2 linked regions of the Daphnia pulex genome follow. The protein of the gene in region 1 interacts with the protein of each later gene in a biochemical or structural test. Links are inferred from orthologs where the notes say so. Each region holds a gene or a part of one and is shown on either strand. Other genes may lie near its edges. The genes, in order: general vesicular transport factor p115-like and syntaxin-5-like.

Region 1 (6,485 bases):
CCGCATCTTCTAGGCTCGTGTTCCATACATCTGTAATAAAAGATAATCGATTGATGATTAAGAACGTGACAATCTAAGGTGTGTCCCCAGTACAAAGGGCCCTTTCTCTTGTCTCTATGGTTAATGGGCAAAGGGACCCAAGGAGGATGGGGGTGGGCGAACAAAGACACACACACAGGTCCAGACTAGGCACGAGTCAAGGTCATAGTTCATCACCAAGACAAAGTCGAAGAAATCACCCACACGTAGCAATTAAATGTGAACTAAATAGCAGTTGATAATACGTTGTGCAATTTTAACTTTAAGTTTTTTTTAAATAGGTGGAACCGGTAAACGTGACTTTCTCCCCAACGGTTTTCTAGCACGTTCGGGCTACGACAAAGCCGGTAGGTTGGGGGTTTCTTTGTTCGATTTCGTGAGCCGACTCAAATACACATAAAAGATAGGGACATTGAATGAAATTTTGTTTTCTTACCTTCATTAAAATCAAAAGCAACTGGCAACGGCATAACCTCCATTTTCTTCAATGTTGGCGAAATTTCGGACGTCACGAATAAAACAAGGGAAAAAAGAGCCGGCGAATTTAATAACGTGCAAGGGGGTTTCTTGGTAGTTAAGGATTGTGTGATTTGCTTTAAAAACTTGAGAGACTGTGTGCGAAAAAGAACTGTTTTTTGCTTTGATCAAGGTGAAAATTTAGAAGAGAATAAGGGAGAAAAAGTGGGCCGGTCTTTGTTAGTGAAAGAACAAGGGCGATTGATGGCGACTGCAAAGTGAAACAGCCTTTTCAACGTGAATGGTGCCCATCGACTGAGAAAGAAAGGCCTCTGTTCTCGAGTTGACTACCTTAGCAACGACCACTGCAGACTGACGGTGCGTTCACTCGGTTTCCAAGCAGACGACATTGTTTCAACTGACGCCAGAGCCCTCTGTGCACAGAATCTTCTAGATAATTTGATTCTAATTACGTACTTGATCAACACGAAAGTTGATTGTAATTATTTTACATTGAACTGAAGCTATTTTTAAGTAATTTAAAGCGTGAAAATGAAAAGATTTCATTAGTTATGAATTAAATATCCATCGCCAGCCGTCGAGTGTCGCTGGTGTAGCGTGGTGTTTCTTTGTCCCGGATCCGAGAGTGACTACGTTATCTGTTGTGAACTTTGATGTTCCTTTCTTTGTCTGGGAGGGGTTTGCCAGGGTAATGGGGATATTGGCGTATAGTGTGTATTGCCCTAGCGGCCCACAGCAACAGTGACGTCACACGCAATCACCCCATATTTTTACTTCATCTTTTTTCTTTGTTTTCTTTTATTTAAACTCAACCTCTTTTTCTTTGTCTTGGGAGACTTGAATTTTTTTTTCCGGAGAAATTTTTCTTATCTCTTACATCAGCCATTTTTATTTTACTGTATCAAAATTTCCGAACTGGTTTTTTAAAGGCTTCTAGAAAAAACCAGAAGACGGAAAAAAGATAACAACGTTTTGCATGACGGACTGAATGAACAAAGGGCAAATATAAAACAAAAAATCCAAGTGAAATAAAAATAATAACGTAGGGGGTACTACAAGGAAGGGAGTTCCTGGTTTCCCTGCTCGACATCACGTAGGCTAAGGGCTTCGGATGGCAACAGCAACTTAAAACTACCGGTGAGCCAATAGCCATCCAGAGACATTGTGTTGTTGTGTATATTATATACTGTATATACTCTGTTGCTGACTGCTCACGGCAGTCCAGGAAGAGTTTGCAACCAGCAGCTGCCAGCCGGATGCGAGGTGCAGGGAAAGAAATGGATTAAAGTTGAGAAGAAAAAAAAGGTACGCTATATAATAGTACCACCAATCAATAATTCTAGCTGCAACAAAGAACTTTTTTTTCTGGATGTGCTAGGGGATATATCACAGTTCAGCCTTGTTTTCAACAGAACCCTGAAACGTTAAAATTCCATTTTTGGGAAAAAAGGATATGGGATTATAAGGATTTATAGCTTCCTCATGTCTACTGTGTGGTTGGCTAATGTATGCAAAAAAGATATAAGGCTGTTGGCAGCAGACTGGCAGCAGACCACTCGCTGCAAAATCGGGCGTTATAAGCAGGTATTTCAAGTTCTTGCGGATAGGGATTCTTTTTTTTAAAAAAACCTTTGACAACAATAAAAACAACAAAAGAACAAGGGAAAGGAAAGCCTTGGGCATGATATCCCGTTTGACACTTCCCACACAATTTGTGCGTGAAGGTCGAGATAGATCTCGTCAGTAGATAAAAATAATTTTCCAAACTAGAATTATACATGAATCTTTGTGGACCAAGCAGCAGCACGACCGCTGCTTACAGTGGTCCTCCTTGCTGCACGGTTCTTTGTTTCACCTGGTAAAAGATTGCCTGTGGCCAGCAGGCTGTAACCCAATCCGTTCTTCCCCTCGATCGATCGACAGGATGTCAAGTCTAGAATTATATTCGTTAAATATTAGACGCGGCACGGAGCGAAAGGATATCCTCAGCGCGTGATAGGATATGTATTTCAAATTAACAGAGAATTCGTCAAAAGGATCAAATTTGACCTCGAGCCAACACCCGATACCTGCGAATCTGTCAAATCTAACACGAAATCCCATTCAAAAAGCCCTCCCTAGTGACCGGCTCAACGCGGCCCATTTTAAATATCTGGCAACAAAGCCAAGCAGACGAAATTGGTTGAATCGAAATGACGTGTAACCCAAACGGCTTTGATTCCAAATTTAGAAGTAAATAAATAAATAAATAGAACTATTATAGACATACTTTCCCAAAGTCGTGATGGATTATTTTTTCGGCTTCAAGTCTGTCATCAGCCAGCCGGAAGCGGAGCCTTCTCCTGCTGACACGGTAATTCAATTGACATTAATTAACGTCAATCACTTAAGTGCAGTCGTGTCCTTGACCGTTTTCTTTTCTGATAAACAGCTGTGGCCCGTAAAATTCGATGGCGTGTGAAGGACTTTTTGAGTTTATTTTTGGGGGAATTCGTGTCAAGATTGCTTCTTTAAAATATTCTTTTTTTCTATTCATCAGGTGCTGAGACTGGTTGAGAGAGTCACATCTTCGACTCTGCTGGAGGACAAACGGGATGCCTGCAGAGCCATCAAAGCCCTTTCCAAAAAGTATCGATTGGAAGTGGGGGCCCACGGCTTGGATGCCTTGATTGAGGTGCTCAATGGCCAGCCGGATCTGGAGACATCCAGTTTCGTCCTGGAAACATTATGCAATGTAACTTCATCAGAGGTTTTTGAAGAAGAGGGTGTCGGTGCCCCAGTTGGAGAGCAGTTCACTGAAATCTTTCTCAAAAAAGCAGAGAATGTCATAAGCGTCATCACGTTACTAGACGAATATGATTTTCACGTTCGACTTCCAGCGATTCGTCTGCTAATGAACCTCTTAAACAACAAGTCAGTGTCTATTTTTAACTCGTTCATTATTTTAAAAAAAACCTTTTATTAATTATACACATTTTTTCACAGATCGAAAGAAATGCAGGAAATTGTTCTGGCATGTCCGATGGGTGTGGCCAAATTAATCGATATCCTCAGTGATAGCCGGGATTTCGTGCGAAACGAAGCCTTACTCCTTCTCATCCAGCTGACTAAAAGCAATGCCAACATTCAAAACATTATCGCCTATGAACGTGGTTTCGACCAGCTCTTTCAAGTCGTTCGCAGCGAGGGCTACAGTGACGGCGGTATCGTCGTAGACGATTCCCTACAACTTATGCTCAACCTCCTCAAACGCAACGCCTCAAACCAGACAGTCTTTCGAGAAGGTAATCCATCTAATTCATTTCAATTCGAATTCTATTTTAAAAAGTCGATTGCAACCACCAGAATCCTGCATGAAGCACATCACACCGTTTTTCCAGTCATGCCAACAGTCGGAGGGGGGTGATCCAACTGGCAGTTGGTCTATACAGAAGATTAGCAATGTACATTCCATGCTTCAGGTATAAACAAAATCATCATCGACAGCCTAATTCTATAAATAAAAAGGGAAAGAGTGAGAGTTAGTAAGTACTGTTATATATCTCTTCCCCACAGGTGGTAAGAACATTGGTATCTCCGGCCAACGCCACTCAAGTGGTGTCTCCAGCCCAGAAAAATGTGGCCGGCTGTGGTCTGCTTTCCGAATTGTGTGCTCTACTCATGTCGCCCGGCGTTCCGGCTGACATCCTCAGCGAAATCATCTGCACAGTCGGCGAATCGATTCGCGGCTGCCGGAGCAATCAAGAATTCTTTGGCCAAGTGATGGCCTCTTCGTCACCGCCGCGAACAGCCTTGGTCGTTCTCCTCATGTCTATGGTCAACGAAAAGCAGCCGGTGCTGCTCCGAGCGTCCGTTCTCTACTGTTTCGAGTGTTTCCTCTACAAGAACGATTTCAGTCAGGGACAGATTATCCAGGCACTTTTACCCACATCGGCAGAAGGTGAATAATAATCCCCCCCGCAAGAGAAAGTGATATCCAGCCGGCATGGAAACATTAAACCTGTTTTCTCTTTTTTTCGTATCATAGCCATGCAGCAAATTTCAGCTGGCCAATTATTGTGCGGTGGACTGTTCTCGACCGACTGCCTTTCTCACTGGCTCTCTTCCGTGGCACTCTCTCACGCTCTTGTCAACAACACCAACAACAGGGAACTGTTGCTAAGGGTGCACTTGGCTATCGCCAAAGATGTCGCACCCGTTTCCCTCCTACAACAAGCTTTTAGTATACTCCAATTGGTAAATTTCTTGATTCAAATTCATCTTGAACTATACGTTTCTGACTAACATTTATGTGTGTCTCAGGGTGGCAAGTTGCAGACTCGACTGGGTATTCTGACGTTATTGTCCACCTGGTTGGCAGATAGCCCCAACTCTGTGGCTCAATTTTTAAAACTCCCAAATGCTGTGGCATTTTTAACGGCCCTGGTAAAATCCCATTTCAAATTATCTTAAAGTATCTCCTAGTAAAAGAAAAATTGGGAAATGTTATCTTAGGTGGCTTCCAATGAGCACGACGACCAAGAGGTGCTTGTGCAGAGCTTGTGCGCTTTTCTCCTAGGACTCTGCGTGGTCTACAACAACGATGCAAACAGCAACTTTTCCAAGGTATATTTTCGTTGCTGCCCAGTTGCACCTAGTCATTTACTGTATTGAGTGTTATCGTCATGTAGGAATCCCTGTGCCAACTAATAACCAAGCGAATCGGAGTCGAAACATTCGTCGACAAACTTGCCGAGATCGCTAAACACGAAGTGTACAGCAAAGCCCTCAAACACCCTCAAATTCGGATCAATACCGCGGCTGATATCCAATTCGATCACGAGTTCTGTCGCTTGTACAAAGGTATTCAATTTCCCGCTGGCAGCCATGGCTACTCGATCAACGTATAGAGTTGACTGACAGGACTTGGATTGGATTTCATCTTTAGATATAGCTTTAACCAGTTCTTTTTTTTCCTTCTTGTGTTTCGTTCTATTAATAGGACTAGAGGGTGTCATTGCCAAAGCGGTGGCTCCGCCTACCAGTCCTAAAGGAGCCGAATCCCCGTCCGAATCGATGGTAGGTCGTAATAATCGTAATAATAATCGATATCTATGATACAAATATCTTTTAATCGGAATTGAAGGCTTTGGCCAAATACAAGGACGTCATTCGTGAGCAAGATGGACAGATACAACACCTGCGGCAGCGATTAGCTGCCTTGGAAGGGGATCACATAGCCGCTCAGGTATATTTTCCCGAGAAAACCTTTACGCTGGGAGAACAATTTCTTGATTTACCTTGTGACGCACTCTCAGAGCAAGATCGAAGAGTTGAACGTCAACGTGCAGCACCTCCAGGATCAAAATACATTGCTCAAGGCCCAACGGAACAATAACGTCATAATTGACGGAGGCGAGCCTTCAACTCCGCCACCCGAATCGTCGACTGACAAGTTGGTGAAAGAGCTGGAAGCGTTACGTCTAGACAATGAGAGACTTCGCGGTCAGCTGGAAGAGCAGCAACAAGCTGCCAATCACTACGTTGGCATTCCTCCGTCTGTGAGTATACATGTCATGATGCGGATGCATTTTGGGATTCCTTTTGCAGCTTTTGCATGGTTTACTGATTCAACACATATATTATCCGCTGCATGTAGAACGGAATCGCTGTCGAATTCGCTTCAACCCAATCGGCTTCCATAATGGATAGCTTTACCACGCATGAAGTATCAGCAGCTATTTTTCTGTTTGGAATCATTCCTGGATGATTGTCATCTCTTTTTTAATTTTATTTTTTTTTCAGGACGTCCAAGTGTGTTCGTTCTTTCGTCAACCGGAATCAACGTCGGCAGCTAATCCGCTCGAGCTAGAGCTCAAAGCAGTCAAGAGTCGACTGGAAGCGATGGAAGCGGAATTAGGCGATTCGCAGAAGCGATTGGCTGACTGTCTGTCGGTCAATGCCGGACTTCAAGACGAGATTGAACGAGT
Region 2 (6,342 bases), on another chromosome or scaffold:
CAAACTTGGGCCAACTCATCTGTTCAAAAGAAAAGAAAAGGTCAAAAATAAAATAAATAAAAGGTGATGTCATAAAAATAAAAATGATTTGTCTTAAAAAAAACACATCAACTGCTGCTTCAAATTTCAATGGAAAATGTATTAAATGACAAGATACGAGCGGTTCTTGACTCCTCAGAGTGTGTGGATTAGGGGGAATTTCTTAAATTGATTCTTGGTGAGTAATTTTACAATTACCTTTGGCCAAATGTACGGGGAATATTTTTAGAACAAAGTAGAACCAATAGCGATCGAATGAAATTCAGAAAAAAAATTATAAAAAGTTAAAAACTGACTGAAGATTGCTTGAAACTGATTTGAAAATGCTAATTTTCTTTGAGAAAAAAACTGGAATTTGAACATTCATGTTTTTTTTATTTGCTTTTTTTTTTTTTTGCTTTTGCATTTTTGATTCTTCATTGTCTTGTTACCAAATGTTGACAGCCGCGGAGTTGTTAAACCGGAAAAGCTTGTCCGCTAGAAAACGAATGAATAGTCACGCAGCATTGCAGTACAAGAACAATTCTTATGGCAAAGATAGATGATCCTCCTACGTGGTTCGGACCACCGAAGGAAATATCCTTTCTGAACAAGAAGGACTGAAACTATCCGCCAATACAACATAAAAATGTTAGAAGTGAAGAAGGAAGTGCAAAAAAAAAAAAAAAAATGGGCATCCGCGGCTATATTAATGCGTGACTCGGTAATTCCTGATCAAGTAACCAGTAATCTTCGTTCGAGAAAACAACTCCTTTTCATCGGCAGCTAGAAGAAAAATTCAACACAATGAAGTACTTATTGGTATGATCACTGTTACATTTACTTTGTATCTGTTACACCTGTATTATATTTAGACATAGGCCGTAGAATCAATTTAAATGGAATTCATTTGGGATGTAGTGCAGCGATTTATTGAAATAGTATTTCATGTATTCTATTTCCTGAATGATTTTTAAAAATTCGTATTTAAAGCCTTGCCTCTAAGCTACCAAGCGGCCAAAAGCACGGCGAAAGTGATTTTACCAATAACAAATTATGACTGTGTATACTCTTTGATAAATATTTAATGAAAATGCGTTTGATTTCAATAGGTGAAGATTTTTATTGTGGTAGCCATCATTTCGCTGGCTAATTCCCAGCAGAGTGCTTCAAAAACAACGCCCAAAACTGTTAAACAGGTATCGACGACGGCTAAGCCCATGGCTGGTGCTGCTACGACTGTTAAGCGTTCATCGACAACGGTTAAGCGCGCAGGAACAACAGCTAAACCGAGAACAACTACTGTCAAGCGGGCAGGAACAACAGCTAAACCGAGAACCACTACTGTTAGGCGTGGACCTGCACCCACAACTGCCAAGCGCGCATCTACAACACCTAGACCTAGGACCACTACTGTCAAGCGCGCACCTACAACTGCTAAGCGCGCGTCCACTACGGTTAAGCGCACAGCCACGACCAAGAAAGTTTAAATGATTCAATTCCGGCCATCATTTTCTTTGTTGTTTCTTCAATCTTTACATATCTATAGGCCCACAGTTAAACATTCCATCGTTGTTTCGAATATGAGCAGGCCGTCTCTTTCTGAGTAATACGACTCAATTTGCTATTCTTATTTAATTGGCAGTGATATTTAGTAAATATAATATGCAGAAATCGTTTGTTATCAATATTATTTCATTTACGATTTTATTTCCGTACAACCAAATACTATTTGCTTGTGTTTTATAGGGATTTGAAGATTTACGTAAGCTTTGGCAATCAAGCGTAAATCTTGAGACGGTTGTTAAAAATTTTTGGAAAGGAAATAAAATAAAATTAACAGAAATGCTTTACAAATTTATATGTAAAAAAAAATGTTTGGGAACTTCTGTGTTCAACAGTAGAATTACACATGAGTACACTTTTCTAAGTGTGCATTATAATATTGTTTTGGTCTTCCCTCGCTAGCAATGAAAACGGCTTTTCCTAAATAAAAAAAAATAAATTGAGATGAAAACATAATTTTGATTGGTATGACGCGGGAACGATGGAGAACCTAGTACGTAAGTCATACTTCTCTTAGGAGGAATTTGCGACATTTAAAGCAAACCAACATTGTAGAAAGATAAAGTCTATACATAGTAATTAATAATAGTAATTGATAAAGCTGGATAAAGGTTAAAATAAAATGATAAATATTGAACTTTATACAGTAGATAATTAACGTTGGCAACGTTGGGAATTACGGCTAATGTTTGGTATTTTTTCGTCTGCACACACTCTGCAGACAACCCTTAATATGACGTGGCATTCGGTATAGTTTCTTGTCGCAAAATATCTGGCGTTCCCGATTATTTGGATTTCAAAGACGAAAACGGATGAATTTTTCGAGAGATAAATTTTTGACGGATGATTACTCGAAGACGCCGGCAAGGCTCTGAATCGGAGCATCAGCCGCTTGCTGAAACCCAACTGCAAAACCAAGTCCTGAAAGGCTCTTCATCCGTTTTACTGTGGTCGGGAGAAAGTCCTCAACAGCAGCCATCCTTTTTCATTGTTCCGCAGGGTGAAATAGGTGCATTTGTTGCACCAAATTATTCAACAGATAAATTTGTAGATGTTCAAGCAAAAACCAACAGCGCTGACATGATGGCCCTAGCATCTAATTCGAGTTCATCAGTTCTGTCTTCCACCAATGCTTCTTCACGTGATCGGACTGCAGAGTTTCTCTCTGCAGTCAGAAGCTTCCAGAGTAGGCCAGTTAACGGAGTAGTTGGGAGGCCGAGTCAATCACATCCATCTAAGAATACAGATCAACATCAACAGTACTCTGAATTCATGAAAGTGGCAAAGTAAGTTGTCGACTTTTAAGAAAATATTTGCAACTATTGAAAATATTCAAATTTTTTTCTGTACAGAGTTATTAGTAAGGATTTGAGCAACACATATGCAAAACTGGAAAAACTAACTCTATGTAATTAGCTTTGTTTTTAATTTCTACTGTTCAACCAATCATTTCATGGTTTCACATTTATGCTTGCAGTGGCGAAAAAACGAACGCTATTTGATGATCGTCCTCAAGAGATCCAAGAACTGACTTACATCATCCGTGAAGATATCACAAATCTGAACAAACAGATTGCTCATCTGCAAGGATTCATGAAAAAGCAACAGAATCAACAACAAAATACCAAGGCCCATTCAGCAAATGTCGTTGTAGCTCTTCAGTCGAAGCTAGCCAATATGTCTTCTGAATTCAAACAAGTCCTTGAAGTCCGCACTGAGGTACACGCCTTTCCTAGTTTAAAAAATAACTACTAGATTTTATTATCTAGGATATTCAGTAAAATGAATGTTTTGAAAATATTTTAGAATCTTAAAGCCCAGAGAAGCCGTCGAGAACAGTTTTCTGGCTCCGTCCCAGTCGTTTCTGATTTACCGGCTGCAGCCTTGACAGGAGGACCGTTTGGATCCTCTCAAAATGGTTCTAAAGGATCTGTTCTACTCCGTGATGCTGCCTATCAAGCCCATGGAGGAGAAGCAGTAGCTATCGACATGGGTGCCGCTGACAACAGAACCAACAGGAATCAAATTCAGCAGCAAGTGTTTGCCGACGAAACAGAATCTTACCTGCAAAGTCGTTCTGACGCAGTCCAAAGTATAGAATCCACTATCGTGGAGTTGGGCGGAATTTTCCAGCAACTGGCTCTCATGGTTCGCGAACAAGAAGAAATGGTTCAGCGGTAATAATATTAATTATTTTAGAATATGTTATAACAAAGAATTTATGGAAATATTTTTCTTCGTGTAGGATTGACTCGAATGTCGACGATGCCCAACTTAATGTGGAAGCCGCTCATGACGAACTCTTGCGTTACTTTCGTTCCGTCTCTTCTAATAGGTGGCTGATGCTAAAAGTCTTTGGGGTTGTCCTTGTGTTTGTTGTAATATTCGCCATCTTTTTTGCTTGAAAATTATCTAAAGTACGATTTCCAATTCATTTACCAATACAATTTTCGATCCTAATGAATTTAAAACTCACGGTTCGTTTCTCCATTGTGCTTGATTAACGAATGTAGATGTGCCCTCTGACGAAAATGTTGCCCAGCAGACTTCTGGTGATTTTCATGATGAAGTTATAAACTGTGATGTATTAAGAATAAAATTCAATAGTAAAATATCAGAAGAATAAATAAATTCTAATCTATATTTGACATCTTCAATATTATAGCTAGCCAGCTAGTATTTTTTTAAATTGCATTCCAATTCCATTCATTTCCGTCAGCTGTATTTTGAAAGGTTGTTTAGAATCACCCTCTGATCTAAAAAAATACCGCAACAATTTTCCCAAAGTTTAGTACTAGCCCGCAGTTCTGAATCTTCGAGTGTGTGCTCTCTTACTCCGAAGAGGGGCGTCCCTAAACTGCGAAAGCGAAACGCGAAACGCGAAACGCCTAAAATGCGAAACAGCTGTGCGAAACGGACCCAAAAGTTGAGACCCTGTTTCGCATTTTAGTCTTTGGGTCCGTACTAAACTGCGAAATCGGTGTGTGCGAAACGTCGCAGTGTAAACGTCTTGGTAGCAGACGACAATGGACGCCGTCAACAAACAAATTGTTAAGAGTTTCAAATTTTCGAGTTTCGCGCACCTTATGGCTGGTCTATTTGTGTGTTGACCATGAATACGAAATACCTTGAATGCAATATGTAATAGGTGTTTTAATTAGAAGATTGGTATAAAAAAATTAATGGAACTTCTCGTTTCCATACTGTATCAGTATCAATCAGATTAACATTCTTAATTTTAAGGAAAGTTTTAGCTGATTAAATTTTAGCTTGATTTGGAACATGGTAGCTTTGACTTTTAGCTTGATATAAGGCACTCATACTGTTATGGCCGATTCTTTCTTTGTGCACGTACCTACTGGTTGATTTAAATTATTTAATGTAATCCGATGTAATCCCTGGGCCATTACCTAATATTTTATTATTTAAAAATATCACCATAACGTGCTGCTCTATGTCTTTCATTAGTTTAATAATCGTAAAATGCGCATCAAAACATACAGGGGTAGTGGCGAAGAAATCGAATTTGATTGCCCCCCTTCCTCCTTTAATGCCTCATCATAGCAGACAATGAAAAATGGCGGCAATTTCCGTCAATTTGGACCTCTGTGCCTCTGTGGAGAATAGGAAAACTTTTTGTTTCGCAAGATGTTTCGCTCTTTAGTATGCCCTCCGGCATTTGGTCCCGCGAAACGGTCCCAAAATTTTGGTCCGTTTCGCACAGCTTTTCCGCATTTTAGGCGTTTCGCGTTTCGCGTTTCGCTTTCGCAGTTTAGGGACGCCCTCCGAAGAGTGGAAAACTGAAAAATGGCTTCAATGTTACGTTCGGGAAAGTTTTTTCGGTTATTCTCTAATTTAACAAGAAGTTTTGATTTAAATAATGGTGGAAGGAGTAATAATGAATTACTGCTTGGTGCACGTAGAGGAGAATGGGAAACTAATATTCAGAGGTTTGTTGTTTTTCAACTTATTATCGTGTCCGTAAAACACCGGTACCCACGTGACTCGATAATGTTAAATACCGCTAAATTGTATTTTATTTCTAGATCCTTTTCTGCTGCCCAGCTACCATTAAAGAACTTAAATGATAATACTGTTCAGCAACCTCCGATTTCCACAATAAATGATAGTGTAGACAAGGCCATTGAGAAAGCTGAGTTGGATGCAAAAAAATCTGGTCGCATCACAAAAGATGATATTCTTGATATCATTCAAAAGATTAAAAAACAAAGTATTATCTTGTTTCAGCACCTTTAAAACTGACAAAATGTTTAGTGCTTGATTTATGTTTGTTTATCCAGAAACTGCTTCAACTACTCAGAGCTTGCTGCTCATACGGTGTTGTGGAAATCTTGTGCCTGAAGAACCACCTATTTCAAGAACAAAATTAGTTGAAGAAGTATGGAAAATGTTTGAGGGATTTGGTGTTCCACTTGACATTAGCCACTATAATGCTTTGCTCAGAGTATATTTAGAGAATGAGCATTCATTTGATCCCATGAAGTTTATCCACCTTTTGGAAGGGAAGGAAATTCAACCTAATAGAGTAATTTTACCTCAATCAAAATTACTATTGCTTTTGTAATCCTAATTTTTTTATTTTCTAGGTGACTTATCAGAGACTGTTGTCAGCATATTGTCAAAAAGGAGATATTGATGGTGCATCACAAATTTTGGAAATAATGAAAAGTAAAGATCTCCCTATTGGTGAACAAGTATTTAATTCACTTGTTATGGGCCATGCAAACACTGGGTAAA

The links.
Region 2: the proteins of general vesicular transport factor p115-like (region 1) and syntaxin-5-like form a complex in vitro, tested with the Homo sapiens proteins (2 studies listed by BioGRID). The link is inferred for Daphnia pulex from reciprocal best matches to the Homo sapiens genes USO1 and STX5.

What each region holds. Positions count from the first base shown.
Region 1 is NC_060025.1:2,005,462-2,011,946, reverse strand, and holds the start of general vesicular transport factor p115-like, read left to right. Parts: upstream 1-2,680; 5' UTR 2,681-2,800; coding exon 2,801-2,869; intron 2,870-3,055; coding exon 3,056-3,429; intron 3,430-3,501; coding exon 3,502-3,800; intron 3,801-3,861; coding exon 3,862-3,977; intron 3,978-4,071; coding exon 4,072-4,456; intron 4,457-4,543; coding exon 4,544-4,752; intron 4,753-4,818; coding exon 4,819-4,941; intron 4,942-5,010; coding exon 5,011-5,121; intron 5,122-5,186; coding exon 5,187-5,358; intron 5,359-5,497; coding exon 5,498-5,574; intron 5,575-5,641; coding exon 5,642-5,743; intron 5,744-5,813; coding exon 5,814-6,056; intron 6,057-6,154; coding exon 6,155-6,223; intron 6,224-6,300; coding exon 6,301-6,485. UniProt on the Homo sapiens protein: General vesicular transport factor required for intercisternal transport in the Golgi stack; it is required for transcytotic fusion and/or subsequent binding of the vesicles to the target membrane.
Region 2 is NC_060017.1:4,340,533-4,346,874, forward strand, and holds syntaxin-5-like, read left to right. Parts: upstream 1-2,273; 5' UTR 2,274-2,427; coding exon 2,428-2,870; intron 2,871-2,936; coding exon 2,937-2,992; intron 2,993-3,061; coding exon 3,062-3,303; intron 3,304-3,390; coding exon 3,391-3,761; intron 3,762-3,829; coding exon 3,830-3,989; 3' UTR 3,990-4,227; downstream 4,228-6,342. Other genes in the region: proteoglycan 4-like, read left to right, coding at 826-840, 1,131-1,508; leucine-rich PPR motif-containing protein, mitochondrial-like, read left to right, coding at 5,392-5,534, 5,631-5,815, 5,886-6,130, 6,192-6,337. UniProt on the Homo sapiens protein: Mediates endoplasmic reticulum to Golgi transport.